Linked DNA regions of Diceros bicornis minor. The protein of the gene in region 1 interacts with the protein of each later gene in a pairwise test. Links are inferred from orthologs where the notes say so. Each region holds a gene or a part of one and is shown on either strand. Other genes may lie near its edges.

Region 1 (8,264 bases):
ACACGCTTTGCAAGATTCAGAAAATTTTCTTTATCTCAGGCAAATAACACACAGAATCATAACACTCTAAGTTGTTTTTAGCTATTTCTCCTGACATTTACCTCCATATTTCTAACCAATATGATTATACTACTTTTTTTCCATTTTAGACATTATCTGTTAACTTCCTACTGTAGAAAATGAAGACTTAGCTCTCTGAAACTATTCTCTCCGTCATCCCTAACCCTGTCCTCCACAAATCCTGTGCTTTGAAAATAGCTCTTTTGTAATTTCTTATTGTTACTACTTACTGTTTGCATTATTTTGGCTACACAAAATTTTCACAGCTAAGCCAAGTAGTGTACTATGATTACATTTTCTTTCTTTTAAAACCTTTTTTTTTCCTGGAGTTAATAATTGATTTTCCCTAGTTTCCTATGTAATTGTTACTAATTCTTCCACTTAAATTGTCTGATTTTATTATAAAATTCCTCTCAATGTGGTCACATACATCATATGATCTATTATTTCTATGTTTTTTCCTTAGAGACATCCTTTGTAAAGAACTTTAGAATCTACGTGAAATGATTGGCCACTAGACCTGGTACATAAATTTCATCCTGGAAATTCCATTCCCTGGTCATTGTGTTGAATTCCCGGCTTCCTTGTTGCCATGTCTTTCCCACTTTGTTTATTCTCTCATTTGAGTGGAACTATCCCTCTAGTAGTTTCTTGAGAAGAGGGAAAAAATTTAAGGCTCTTCATATAATTTTAAGGTAGAAATAAGTTCCCATCAAAATTTTGAAGGTATTTTGACTGTTTTATTTCCAGTGTTGCTAGTGAGAAATATAATAGCATTCAGATTCCCAATACCTAATATATAATGTATTTTTTCTCTGTCTGATAACATTTATGATCATTTGCTTACCTCTAAGATTCTGAAATTTCACAATAATGTTTCTTGGTGTGGTCTATTTTTATTCCTTGTGTTACTATACTCTGTGGATTCCCTTCAACCTGAAGACTTGGGTCATTAGTTCTCAGAAATTTTCTGAAATTTTTTTCTTTTAAAAATCTCTCCTCTCAATTTTCTCTGAAATACTCCTGAGAAATGTGGTTTCCCTCTAAGGTGACCAATGAATTTTCAAGTTGTAAGTAAATCTCTGGAATTTGTTGCTGCCTCTGCTATCTTTCCCAAAGAGATGATTCTAGAATAGTAAGAATCTGAAGCCAGAAAGAAATGGAGGACTTCTTCCACAGAGCAGGAAACACTACCTCAACTCCCATTTGACCTGGATGTTATTAACCACAGAGACCCTCATTCAGGTGTTTCCTCTTGGAAACCTGGGCTTCTTCTGGAAACCCTACCTAACATGTCCACCATCTTTGATACCACTCATGGAAAGAAAGAGAGAAAGAAAGGGGAGGTGGAGAGGGAGGAAGGAGGGTAGGAAGGAAGGAAGGAAAGATAGAAGGAAGGAAGAAAAGAGAAAGGGGAAAAGAAAGAAAAGAAGGAAAGGAGCAAGGGAGGGAGGAATTGATGACCCCTTGTTTTGTGTTAATCTTTCCGTGGTATTTGTGGCCATGAGAAAACTTACTTATTATTTTTGTTTACATGAGTTTCTCCCATAAAATTGTAAGCTCCTTTAGGAAAGGTAGAATATATTATTTAAGTTTATATTCCCAATGTTTAGCAGAGTGTCTGCGGCCCATTAGGCACTAAATAAACACTTGTTGAATAAATGATTATGATAAAACAGCATTGCTGTCAGTTCTACAGTAATGCCCGCTTGATTTCAGCCAGAAGTATTTCATTTGCACCATGTTCTCCCAGGCTACAGAATCAGTAATAGTGATTATCGTGAGGCTCTTCTTCCCTAAGGACAACTGCCAGGCCAAAATATAAGGCACGTGTTTATTTCAGAAGTAAGTACAAAGGAGAGCATGATTGATATCAAATACAGGTCAGTGATTCTCAAATTAGAATGTCTCCAATTCTTGTTGTTTTTTAGTACAATAATGTTCAATTTTGATTAACTTTAAAATACATACCGTATGACATATAACGCTTATGTTAAGAAATGGTGTTACAAAATTAACCCAAACAATAAATTTGAAATCACTTTGTGTCTAAACATCTTATGCACTAATATCACAAAAAGAAAATTTGGACATTTCACAAATATTTTCCAGAATCGTTACATAATTAGAGGTACGTAGAGTCTCTTGTAATATGAATATAATGGTGTTTGAACACACGAATTTAAGAAGTGAAAAATCCCCATGGAAATACACTTCATAAAATCTACACCCTAGAATGACCTACACTTTTCCAGATCCTTCATCCCAGTCTTCAGCAACTGAGCTCATTCTGAATGAAACTGTGTAAAAAGGATTACCAAAAAAAATGTAATACAAATTTGCAAAATAAGTAGTTAGTAAGTAGAAATATAATTTGAAATAAGGCAGCCTGGCGAGGAGACTCACAGGGAAAGTCGGGTCTTTGACAAAGACGTTTCAATCTTACAGCATGGATTCCAGTCAATTCAGATGATTTAGAAAATGAGGCTAATATTCTCAGATGCAATGGACGATAATCCAATGTTCTTTTTTATTAATATTCTGTTCAGCCTTTAGAACACAGTGGCAGATTTCAACTATAAATCTTACAAATCAGAATTTAAATAGGAAGTATGGATAAGAAAGCTTGCAGAGATAAATTTTTTAAAAATCTGTGAGACCACAGGATATGGACTGAGCACTCAAAAGGTAGTGATGATGGTCATAATCACAATTAGGAAACTTATGTCTAAAACTAAAGACACTGTACCTTCACAAGAATGATCTCGAAATGTCCAAAGAAGCTAGATTAGAAGTTAGGACAGAAGGAGTTAATGTTGTGTTGAATCTATCTAATTTACAATCCCTCTTTGCAGCTAGATTGTCTCAGAACTTGTTGAACTGTCTTCTTTGACGTTATAAAAATACTTACCTACTTGCCAAGGTTGAGTGAAATAAGTTAATTAATATTATGGTAAGGTCTTAACAGCAAAATTTGTATGTAATCTGTTCCCCAACGGGTTAATAAAACTCTATTTTTCCTTAGTAAAAGAAATGAAACCAGAATTCAGTCTCAACTTAAATGTAAATGTGGCTTAGGAAGGACACAGTAACACCACTTGGCATTTCTTAAGTTACCCTGATCTTTCTACCCTGGATAAAAATAAAGGAAAGAAAGCATCTAAAACAGAACCGCCCTATTACAACCCAAATTTGCCCATGAAAGCAGAAATTTTCTGGCCTGCATCTATGCGTTTTTTCCACTTTCCGTAGCCTCCCACACTATAATGACTTATGCATGGAATTCAGGGACTTTATATTTTCTTTTGAGTGCAAAATGAATGCCAACATGGAAAATGTGAATGCTGACCATTTTCAAAGATGGTACAGACCTTTGAGGGAACCAAATAGTATCCAGAAAGATATTTGGTCAGGCTGGAGTACCAAATTCTAGTACATTCCTCAACTTCACTGGTCTTTACAGGATGGGAATATTTACCTTTCTGGCATGTGCTTAGTCAGAATAGCTTGAAATTTTTGGTGGGGAGTCAGAATCCTTTTCAATAGACTGAAGTGACCCAAAACCAGCACAGCAGTTAATCTTGTTTATGGCTAAAATCAATAAGCCAATCCATGTTACGTGCTAACAGTTCTTATGGGGAGTAAAAACCAGACGTGTCTGCTCTTTGAATGGGATATTTCTTTTACAGTGCAGTAATTTGGTTTCATTATGGGACAACATTTAGGTCAGTCGTTTTTATAAGGCTGAGTTTACATTGGTATAATTTGTTTCCTTTAATGAAGAGTTTGAATAATTCAAGGCAAAAGAATGGATACCTGGAATGTGTTTATATTCTGACCTTATCTTATGCCTGGTTTTCTTGTTTACTTCAATTTTTATGGCCAAATTCTAACAGAAGTATACAAACCAAACTCCTTAGAAGCCAAAGAGAACGAGACTGAAATTTCTGAAGAATTGTCCCACTTGTGTTATCATGCGCGTATCTTCTTTTTGGTTCACCTGAACTCTTGCCTGAGGAGTTTAGATTTTATTCATACTAAAGATATGTGGAGGGAAGGGGCAGAGGTAGACTCTCATTCCATGGAGACAAGAAAGTTTGGCTGTCTTAGCCTGGGCCTTAGAACCAGGGCTTAGTCTGAATCTTGGCTTACTTCCTCGATGTATAATCTTGGGCAAGTCATTTAATTTCTCTAAACTTCATTGATACTAGCTTGCTAGCTAGTAGTAGCAGTAATAGAATGCATGTAAATGTGTTTATCCTAAGGCATTGTGTATGTATGTGTTATGCTTTCTTATCCATGAATTATGTGTTAATATGAGCTAAACTGGATTATTCCATGTTTCTCAGTCACTCCCTGGAGTAAATACATCCTGGTAATTTGGAATCTGCTTTAGCTCTTTCACACACTAATACATTACATGTGCTATCTCTACAGCTCAATTTTGCATGAACAGTTCCCTAGTGGCCTTTGTAATGACTTGTGTTCACAAAAGTAAACCAGGAAAGCATGTAAGCTAGAGCAACAAGTTTCTTCCAGTGACTTTTATTAAATATTGCAATCCAAATATTTTCTTTATGGAGTTTTAAATGTTCAATATTTATATTTTTATTCATTAATAGAACAATCAGGCCAGCTGCATTTAAAAGTATTGTCAATAATTTTTGACCAGAAATATAAAATGGGAAATTTTCTTCTAATATTAAGCTGCTTCTTAAAGAAGTAATACTATTAAAGTTATTAAACAGAAGCTTTATAAAATCTCTTACTTAATCTTTCATAGTACAGATTAAGTGCTCTCTTCTACAAGATATATTTTGACTTTAGAACTATATCCTGAACTATGTGTTTTTTTAAATTTTTTAATAGGTGGTGAAATGACAAAACTCACTCTCCTCTTCAAGTAGTGAATTTGAAGTAATATTTCATCAAACTCCATCTCCTGTAGTCTCATATGGAATGTATCTCTCTATCTGTTGTTAAACTACGATGACATGTCTGTTGCTATCAGAAAGAGAAGCTGGGAAGAACATGTGACCCAATGGATGGGACAGCCTTTTAATTCTGATGATTATAACACAGCATGTCATCATGGACTAGGAGCTGACAGCTTGCAGGCAAGTATGGAAAAAGATGCAACTTTAAATGTGGACCGCAAAGAAAAGTGTGCTTCACTACCAGACTGCTGTCCTGGATCAGAGCTGAGAGATTTTCCTGGGAGGCCAATGGGTCACATTTCAAAAAAGGTGGATGAAAATGACAGCCAAGAAGGTGAAGATCAGTTTCTTTCTCTGGAGGCCAGCACGGAAACGCTAGTGCACGTTTCTGATGAGGATACCGATTCCGATCTGTATCTTCCAGATGATAAACAGATTTTAATTACCCAAGAGCGTAAAACATCAGACCAACATAGTGTCACAGGAGCGGGCTCCTTGGTAAAGACACTGCCCATCATGGAAAGTAACCAAGATTCTTATAACTCCTGGGGAATGGCTGCTGGAGCTGATTTAGTGCTGGTAGAAGAAAGGGGGGAGAGAAAGGTTGTCGACATTATAAGCAAAAGCCTGGAGCTTTGTAATGATATAAGCTTAAGTGAAATAAAAGAGGCATCCAAAATCAATGCATGCGATTCTTTGAATGTGAAAGATATTGTGCCTGAGAAGCAATTGCTTAATTCTGCTGTAATTGCTCAGCAACGAAGGAAACCCGACTTCCCTAAAGATGGACATGAAAGAAACACCTGCAGTCTAGTCCAAGATGAGTTCTTGGCTATTCCTTGTACAGACAGAGGACTGCCATTATTGAAAGCAGATTCTGGAAGCTGCCTTCTGCAGCCTCCTTCCTGCCCTAGGGGAATGTCAGCTGAAAATGACCTGGAGAAGAGTGGTTTCTCAGAACATCAAAACAAAAGTCTTCCAAGGGTCAACTCAGGAGATGGTATGCAGTGTTTACACTTAAAGGAGACTCTGGCCACCCAGGAACCCACAGATAACCAAGTCAGACTTCGCAAAAGAAAGGTAAGACACATGCACAGATTATCTGGCTTTTGGAATTTTGTAAATATCCTTGTTTCCATCACTTATTATTTTGCTAGGATTAAAGAGATATTGTAGTGTAGTGTACCTGCAGTGTAATTGTATAACTCAGACAGGATCTTCTTGGGGAAACCATCAAGATATGTAAAAGTTTAAATATAATAACCTATCCATTTTACTAGTAATATTTACGGTGGTTTATGAACATTCTATTTTGGAATTGTATTGAAGACAGAATTGGTTTCACTTTCTTTAGTTGGAATTAAATAGCCACCAGATAGCTCACACTTCAAGCCCTATCTAATTTTTAGAAAACAAGTCATGGTATTTTTTTATTTAATATCATTTATTTGGGCCTGTTTCTTTCTCCCTTTAAAAAGTATATTTTATCATAGTAAAAATAGTAGAAATCACATATTAAAAATGATCCCTTTACATATACAAAGGCAATAGTACCCCCTCCATCAACCAAGATATGCTGATGCTATTTTAAATGATACCCTGGCACATTCACTATCAATACATATATCAACTTTTCTTTAACTCTTCACCAAAAAGGGCAAATAACTGAAATTATTTTTTCATGCCAAAGCCCCTTTGACTAATCTATAGACGCCATGCTCCGTTAAGAAGTTTCCAGATGAGAGAAGCAAAGATTGGAGTGGAGCTACATGAAGCATAGTTTAGCTAGTGAGCTGTTGACCAAAGTTTGCCTTATCTTTAGGATTTCCCCCAAATTCTTCCAACAATGTAGTGCTCTATAATCCTAGTGTCAATACAGGTACAATTTCTTCTGTAAATCCAACATGGCCATTGGCATTGAAAAAACCCTGCAGATTGGACGCTTTAGGGTAACATCCTTGCCCCACTTTTGATACAATATTAATCTATAATTGCAATTCTGCTAACACAAAACTAATGTGCTTAGTTCTGTTCAACTGAGGCTATCTACACTGAGAAAAAAAATCTCCAACTCTCTTTGTGGTGAAGAAATCTGGTTTCCAAAAACTGTGGTTTTGCTAACAAACTAGATCAGTAACATGTCATAAGCTAGTTTAAGTGAAGTCAAAGACTTTACAGCAATGATCAATGTGCTCAAATTGTATGCCTACAGAGCATTCTGTGCTTCTGGCAAACTCTTCCTTCCTTAAATTGTATTTAAATGTTAATGCTCCGTAAAGTTGTTATGGTTGGAAAGCTCAGGTCACTTTTTCAGAAATGCCCATATATCCTATCAAATCTGTTGGAGGGAATGCAATAATGACTTAAGAAAGTATTAACTGACCTATGACATAGTTCCCCTAAAATAAGACAAACCCTGCCCAACTGCTGACAGAAACATTAAACATTCCAGAAACATATGCTCACCACTTGGACATTTATATCAATACTAAGAATGCTGGAAAGAATTTGCTCTTGGACATGTCACTATAGCATGATTGCATTGTGAGAGCTGTAATTATATCTCATTTACAAGTTCTAACTTAAATATTCTATTTTAAACATTTCATCATTCTAAAGTGTTATGGCATTGTCTGGTGGAATATTTGCGTTGACTCTACAACTCATTTGGGATGCTTTGTAATAAACAGATTAAATGTAAAATTTCAGATATGGAATTTATTCTGGAAAAAGGCAGTTTTCAAAGAAGTGTCTAAAATCAAAACGTGTAGGAATTTTTGTTCTATTTGTTGTTGAAAGAGTGTTAAAATACCTTTGAATTGGCAATCAGCCATTTTAGAACTTTACCAAAAGAAATAATAAAACAAATTCATAAAAATATATGTACAGAGATGTTCATCGTTTTATTGTGTGACAAAGAAAGGAAACAACTCAAATTTCCACCAGTAAAGAATTTGCTTGATTATTGTTTATCTATAGTATGGAATGCTATGAAGCCACTAAAAAGATGGGGTGAGATCCACATGCACTAACTTTGAATGATGCTCATGATATAGTGTATCTGGAAAAAGACAGTGATAGACCAATACGTATAGCACATCCCAACCTTATATGACAAAATGTGTATATAGATAGACATAGATATAGACAATATAGATGATATAGATATAGAAATAGATATAGATATAGATATAGATATAGATATAGATATAGATATAGACAAGGGTATAAATCTCTCTATATTACAAACTAAGAATATGCAAAATT
Region 2 (7,589 bases), on another chromosome or scaffold:
TCCTTTAACCATATATAACCATACATAAGTTTGAGTGTTTCAAGAGGGCTCCTGATAATTTCCTCTGAAGTCTTATAGCCTCAGAGATCATACTATTCTTTAATTTCTTCAAGGTGTTTATAATTTTCATAAATCTTATTTAGTTATTATACCACATACTGTAATCCCTGCAGAGCTATTTACTTTTTCATCAAAATAATTTCCTTTAACCTGTATCTCCTCCATGTTATGTTCTCAAGACATCTCCCTAATGAGGAAATTTGTGCTGTTGAGGATTTTAAGATGAGGCCAACAAATGCAGTAGGGATGTTAGAGGTTAGGAGTAAAGGCTTCCTTTCAAAATTTTTGGGTCATGGAAATCTTTTTACACTATTTATATATTTGGAAGGCTATTTGTACAGCTGAGTATGTACTGGGGCTTAAAACACATTTGGGATTATTCAAACACAGGTGTAAGCTCTTTATCACTTCTGGCTTAGTCTTCCTCTCAGTAACTCCTCATATATTTGCTCTGAACCCCTTGAGGTTCTCTAAAATTGTATTTTTGACCCAGAATTACCTTTTCACATATTGAGGTATTAAAACTGTGAAATATTTCAGAATGTATTATTCATATTTGAGTTGCCAATAAAATCAGAATGAGCCAAATTAATTTTTTTAAACTAAATGTTCAGACTCTTTTCACCCACAAGTCTTTGTCCAGCATTTCTGATTATTTACTCTTCATTGAATACTATGTTTAATTCAATATTGGGAGTAACTTTTCTAAAATCACAGATGCCATAGATTGTTTTACTAAAGGTAAAATCTATTTTGAATTTTCCTCTCTTTTCTTTTGTATATTGTTCTGTTTTTCAGTACCTCCTTGTTTAATATTATCTGTGAATTTAATTAACAGACTGTTTACTTCCCTTTGTTAACTGATGTTATGTAACACCACACCTAACACCAACGCCTCTCTCCAAATAGATATTTCATAATTTTTTTTTTTTAATTGTTCTTGGTTTTTGACTCATGAAACTTCAAGGAGTATACTTCAAGGAGAATAGTCTTATGTCAGAAAATTCAGGGGCTTGAAAGAAAAGAAAAGGGAAACACAGAAGTAGAAACTGAGGGAGCAATTAACAGAAAAAAAGAGAACATGAGACTATAAATGAGAGAAGGGTAGAAGATCAAGGTAAGTAGAAAAAGAAAAAAGGCAACAGACAAAAATAAAGAAGGTAGAAACATTTAACCCTTTTGGAAAAAATAAAGTCACTGAAGATAGAAGACTGATTTGAGATTAAGGAAATACCCAAGAAATAGTGATCAAAGCCTAGATCTGTCCAGTAAAAGGAGTATATAAAATATTTGAAAATACCTCATCAAAAAAATGTGGTAGTCTGTTTGGATGAAAAAGCACAACTCTAAGATTGAATATAAGGTAAGATACTGGTATTAGGTTGATATACAAATAGACATAGCAGATCTTTCCTACTAGTAGAGCAACTGATGTCCAAAGATGTGAGCTGATTTAATCCAGCGTTTGTTAAAAGGATGGAGATCTGTTAAAGCATTTGGCAAGGATGCCTAGCACAGGGCTAGGCAGTAGGAAAAACCACAGGTTCTCTTAGCAGAATAGTTTTGTGGATACATACACCTAAAAGTAACTAGAAAACAGTATAACTCAGTATACAGTTGGTGTTGGACTGCATTAAATATTGGCCTTTAAGTGCTAAAGAATTTTCAAAAAAGGGGGAGGAGGTAATTGTGCAAATTAGAGTAGTGAGCCTGATCTGGAAGCTCAGGCAGTGTTCAGATAGTGCGTGGGCACTTAGAGAAGATCAGTGATAACCAAGAGCTGGCGATAACCTGCCGGAATAATGTCCTACATTCAGAGGCTGATGATGGTAATTGGCGTGGGAGTGTTGCAGGATTGGGATGCTAACACACTGCAGGCTTTCAAGCACAGGCTACATGAAAATTTGTTGCCAGTGAGTGGAATAGGTACTTTGACGGTCTCTTCTAACTCTGAGGGTCTAAGTTTAAAAGAAAAACTATTTTCAGGGAGGTGACTGTAAGAAGTAGGACTTGATTATTCTCTTCAAGACCATGGCTCTACTTCATTATGCACTTTCTCATTTTCTAACCTCCTTTCTAGAACAGCACAGAGCTTAGCAACCCAATACCAACATCTCTTACCCACCTACCTAATGAATGACATTGAGCCGGCTTTCTCATCTATTCTTTCTCTCATTCAGGATAATTGCACACCTCCCTCTTGATTAGCATACTACACTCTAGGACAGCGGTTCTTAAACGTAAATGTGTCAACTTGGAGGGCTCATTAAAACATAGATTGCCGCACAGTTTCTGATTCAGAGGGTCTGGGGTGGGGCCCCAAAATTTGCATTTTTACCAGTTCCTAGGATAGTGCTGGTCTGAGACCACTCTTGTGACTAGTTCATCTTCACTCTGCCAGTGGTACACTGCATAGGAGGTGAGCACGATGAGGGAGTCCTCAGGATTACCGTTTAATCAAGTTTGTCAGTGATTTGGCAAATAGGCTTATGCAAACTTCTAAAGTAAAGGAAAATGTCTTGCGTGCACCTTTCGCCCTCTTTTAGTGGTCTATTCCTTTTTTCCTGGGCCTCTATAACAGCCCCTTCCCATGCCCTATGTGGTACTATATTGGTTTGATCATCTTTAGCAGAGAAAATATTGATCTCAAAGATTAAATCAAGATTAAATATTAAAAAGATATTTAGAAAGATTAAATATTGATGTTTGAGATCAATATTTTATGGTATTTAATGTGGCATTCCTCCTGGGAGAATTTAAAAGATAAGAACAATATATGAATCCAAAAGGGCAAATTACTGGTACTGTAATTTCAAACAATGGGAATGATTCCTCCACGTACACGAATGCATATATTTTATTATAGAAGACAAAACAAAACCCATCTCTTTGGCTATATTAAGGGTGAGATTTCAGTTTATTTCTAATTTTTGAAACTATACTTAATTGTAACCGGCACTTGGGGACCCTCTTGACATTCGCCTTGTTGAAGGTGCTCTGTGCGTTCACGTGTGCATCGCGAAGCATGCCCTGCCGTCTTTCGCACACAAACGAGGACAAAAGTGCGTTGATTAGTGATGTCTCTGGCATCCCTCTTCTTCCACACCTCATTAATACTCAACCGACTTGCAATGGTACTCAACAAACTTGCTATGGCACAGGTAAGTGTGTGTGTGTGTGTGTGTGTGTGTGAGAGCGAGCGAGCGAGAGAGCGAGCGCAAGCGCGGAGGTGGGGGGGAGGGAGGATACGGATGGTTGGTGAAGAAAACAAAACGTGTCTAGAAATCTGGCTTCACAACCACTATTTCCACCAAAATTCCTTGCCCTCCTCATATGGACCCCTTTATCCATTTCGTTTTCTTCTCTTGAGTTTCAGAACCTAGTTTTTTATTTCATTTTATTTTTTAGTTTGTAATAGTTGTACACTGATTTATATTAGGCAACGAAAATGAAAACATTAATAGTACTGCCTGGACCTTCGAAGCAATATCCACCTTCCCCCGGGGCCTTGGGCGTCTGGTTTCTGCGCCGCGGGCCAAGGGTGTGTTTTCTACGGGTCAGGAAGTGGGGCACTGGCTTCGCGGCATCTTCCTTTCCCGTTCCCCATTCCGTCCTCTCACCGCCTCCCTGTCCCTCCCGTCTTCACGGCGCCCGGCGGCCGCGTGCTCAGGTACTCACTCCTCCCCTGCCCCGGCCCACCGGCCCACCGAACAAAGCCCAGGGAGGCAGGCGCGCGCCGCCGGCGACACCGACGGGAGGAGCGGCCGCGCCGCCACGCGCCAGAACCGGAGCGGGACAGCCGGCGCGTCCGCTCCCCGCGCGTCCCCGCCGCTTCCGTCCCTCCCGACTCTTCCTTTTCCTCCCTCCAGGCCCAGCCCCCCCACCCCCGCGCCGGGAACGCGCCTGCGCAGAAGCGCCGTCTCCCTCCTCCCCCGCCCTTCCTTCCCTCCGCTCCTCCTCCTGTGCCCCGCCTTCCTTTCTCTCTGGTCGATTTCACTGAGCGCTCCAGGTTGGGAGCAGTTCAGTCGGTTTCCCCAGTACCCCGCCCCCCTTCCTCTTATCTCCCCACCCCTCCCATCTGTAGCCCGGTGGAGGATGAAGCGGCTGCAGTGGCCCCAGCCCCAGCAGCGGCACCGGCGGTGGCTGCGGTGGAGGTGGCCGGAACTGGGGTGGTGAAGAAGCGGTGGCGGCGGCGGCGGCGGTGGCTGAAGGAGCGGCAGCCGCCCCAGCCGCTTCCCCTGCGCTTCCCTTCCTCTTTAGGGCAGCCAGGAAGTTTTTCGCTTCTGTGCATGTGTGTGTGCGTGAGTGTGGGTGTGTAAGGTGAAGGTTTGGGCGGCGTTTGTGCAGGCGTTGGGTTTTTTGCCCACTTCGCTTCCCGTAACCCGGGCAGCTCCGGAGCCTGGGCTGTGGCCCGAGGAGGGGGCGCGGCGGCGGGCTCTCTCCTTTTGTTGTTGTTTCCTCCGCCTGGGGAGCTGACGGGGGGACGCGCCTGGGTGGGGCGGCTCGGAGCCCGGGCCTGGTGGCCCTCGGGGCTCCCGGGCGGGCAGGGGAGGGCAGAGTCGAGCGGGCTTCAACATGATGGCGGCCGAGGCCGGCAGTGAGGAGGGCGGCCCGGTGACCGCCGGGGCCGCAGGAGGCGGCGCGGCCGCGGGCTCCAGTGCCTATCCGGCAGTGTGTCGGGTGAAGATCCCCGCGGCCCTGCCTGTGGCAGCCGCCTCGTATCCTGGGCTGGCGGAGGCCGCAGTGGCCGGGACTCTGGGTGGCGGAGCCGCTGCGGGGTCAGGGTTCCTAGGGGCCGTGTCCGTGGCGGGGGCGCTGGGGGGAGCCGGACTGTCAGGGGGAGGTGCTGCTGCTGGCGTGGCTGGTGCTGCCGCCGCCGGACCTGGCGGGGAGATGGCTCCCACCAAGGGGACCACTTCGTTGCCTGCCGAGCCCTTCGGGGCGGGCGGCGGATTCCCTCCTCTGCCGCCGCCTCCTCAGCTGCCCACTTTGGGCGCCGGCCTGGGAACAGTGGACGAAGGTGACTCTCTGGATGGACCAGAATACGAGGAGGAAGAGGTGGCCATCCCGCTGACCGCTCCTCCAACTAACCAGTAAGTCAAGACCACTGTTCTGGGACTGGGGAAGCTGGCTCCTGGAAAGAAGTGGGAAAACGTACCTCGTTCTTTCTGCTGTGATTTGTTCTGAGAAGTTTGGAAGCTTCAGGTTCCATGCGTAGGGATTTAATATGATCTCTCATCTTCCCCACAGGCATACTCCCTGGCGTCTTTGTCTATTTATTGCTCCTCTGGGAAGATGTAAAGTTTTTAAGATGGGAAAATGTGTATCCAGTGAGAACCGGATATGGTTCTGCCCCTTCCAAATTGAGCTGGCGGCCTGGGATTCAGCAGAGCTTGCAGCCGCCTAGGCAGTCATAGTCTGTATTAACTTGTGTGTGTTCCCGATTGAAGCTAGATGATGAGTGAGAAGCTCTGAATACGAGTATTTGAATCAGTATTGTACTGATATCATTTGAAACATGCATTGGTCAGAATGCTTTGCTTTTGTTGCACTGCAAATCCCACCTTCTGCTTAGTGAAAACCTAGAGGTGCAGAAAAGTCTTTGGATCACTTATGAAAACGTGGGTCAGCGAGGAAGGAAAGGAGTTCCGTGAATTACAGGTGTGATTAAGGGCCCATACTCCAGCAATGTTTGTAACTTGTGCCATAGAATTCCCATTTATTAATATTAGTGTAATTCTTTTATAGTTGTGACTTTGTAAGTACAACATTGAAGTAAAACAAATTAATAGTGTACTTCCCTTCAACACTTTTTCTTGGTGGCCGATACAATATTTTATTTGAGAATTAATTTTGACAGTCTACTGCAGAATATATAGGACAAATGACTTTTCTATATAAAGTTAGCACCTCCCCCTTACTTGTTCTCTACCTAGGTTAACTTATGGATGCATTTATAAAGGTGGACCTTGAGGAGAGGAAAATGTTGATGGGAAGTGGTAATAGTAGACAAAACTTGTTTTATAGATCACTCAGATCTGTCTTAATTGACCTTTAGAATTTCGACAACCTTTGATGAGTATCAGAGGAAAAAAGATTTGGTTTATATGTTCACAGTCACTCTGGACCGTTGAAAGGTTTTTTTTTTGGATAAGCATCTTTGGAGGATTTAGAAAGGACTTAAAAAATGACTTAGGAAAAGATTCTGTAGTAATCCATTTTTGACTTAAGGCTACATCTTCTGATACTTAAGGTGGAAAATTAAAGTTAGTCTTATTTATGTCAGCCATAGTATAGAGGTGTTGTATTCCTTTTATAGTGCTCAATATGAGTTAAATTTTTTTGTCTAATTTTGTTCCAACTTATCATGTTATGTCTATGTATTGCAGACTTTTCTAAAGGTGTTCTGAGAGTGTTAAAAATTCCAGTTTCCAGCACTGTTTCACCTTCAAGCCATTTTGAAAAAGTCAGATTTAAATATTAAGTGCCCACTATATGCTCAGCACTGTGGTTATAATAAAGTGCAACTTTTCATACTGAAAGAATATAGTCTTATTCCAGTTCATAACTGAATTGAATTAGGCATATTTAGTATATTGTAGTTCTAAATTTTTTTAAGTCAAATTTATTTTGTAGAGCAATTCTAGGTTCACGGCAAAATTGAGCAGAAAATACAGAGCATTCCCATTAAATTTTTAATAATAAACATGAATGGGTACATAGAACAAATTGTGTTTGTGAGAAGTCCATTGTGTAAGATTTTCATCATTATCACTTATATGTATTTAGGAATAAAAATAATATTTGTATGACTGTATATGAGAATTGTTCATGTTCTAAAAAGTATCCTCCATTTCTAGTATGTTTTTTAAATTTGCCACTGAGAAGTACAAATTTCCCTCTTTTCTTTATCTTAGATATCAACCCAGAGTCACTGGAGGCAATACAGTGTAGTGGTTAAGCGTGCAAATTCTGAAGTTAGACAAGATTTGGGTTGGAATCCTGACTCTGCCACTTACTAGCTGTGTGATCTTGGAAAGGTCAGTTTCCCCATCTGTAAAATGGGGATAATAATGGTACCTCCCTCATATGGTCGTTTTTAAAGTTTAATGAAAACCTTGAACATATTCAGCACAGTGCCTGGCACATAGTAAGTGTTTAGTAAATAGTCTCCCCAAATAACAAGAATATAATTTTATTGTCATTAAATTGCCTACTAATTCTATTGGTGTAGGGACTCTTTTCCTAATAGCTATTTGAGAGAATGTTTTGAACTCCAAAGACCTGTCTGCCATAATTAATTATATTAAAATTTTATTTTTACTTCATAAAAGCTTCTAGCAGATTAAGCAGGTTCAGAGATGAAATTCAAGTGTTTTCTATAAATTCCTATTTTCAATGAAAGGAGGAAAAAGCCTTAGTGACTTGGTTAAATAATGTCAAATTTCCCATAAAAGTATTGAAGAAATGTTTTTGGACTAAATTAATATTTGACTAGTGACTGTTCACTGTAGTTATTGATAGCATGG

The links. The genes of interacting proteins can lie anywhere in the genome.
Region 2: the proteins of DLC1 (region 1) and RASA1 interact in binary tests that used the Homo sapiens proteins (3 or more experiments, as listed by UniProt). The link is inferred for Diceros bicornis minor from reciprocal best matches to the Homo sapiens genes DLC1 and RASA1.

The regions. Positions count from the first base shown.
Region 1 is NC_080768.1:25,141,080-25,149,343, forward strand, and holds the start of DLC1 (rho GTPase-activating protein 7), read left to right. Parts: upstream 1-5,054; coding exon 5,055-6,077; intron 6,078-8,264. UniProt on the Homo sapiens protein: Functions as a GTPase-activating protein for the small GTPases RHOA, RHOB, RHOC and CDC42, terminating their downstream signaling.
Region 2 is NC_080740.1:14,384,286-14,391,874, forward strand, and holds the start of RASA1 (ras GTPase-activating protein 1), read left to right. Parts: upstream 1-4,561; 5' UTR 4,562-4,635; coding exon 4,636-5,153; intron 5,154-7,589. UniProt on the Homo sapiens protein: Inhibitory regulator of the Ras-cyclic AMP pathway. Stimulates the GTPase of normal but not oncogenic Ras p21; this stimulation may be further increased in the presence of NCK1.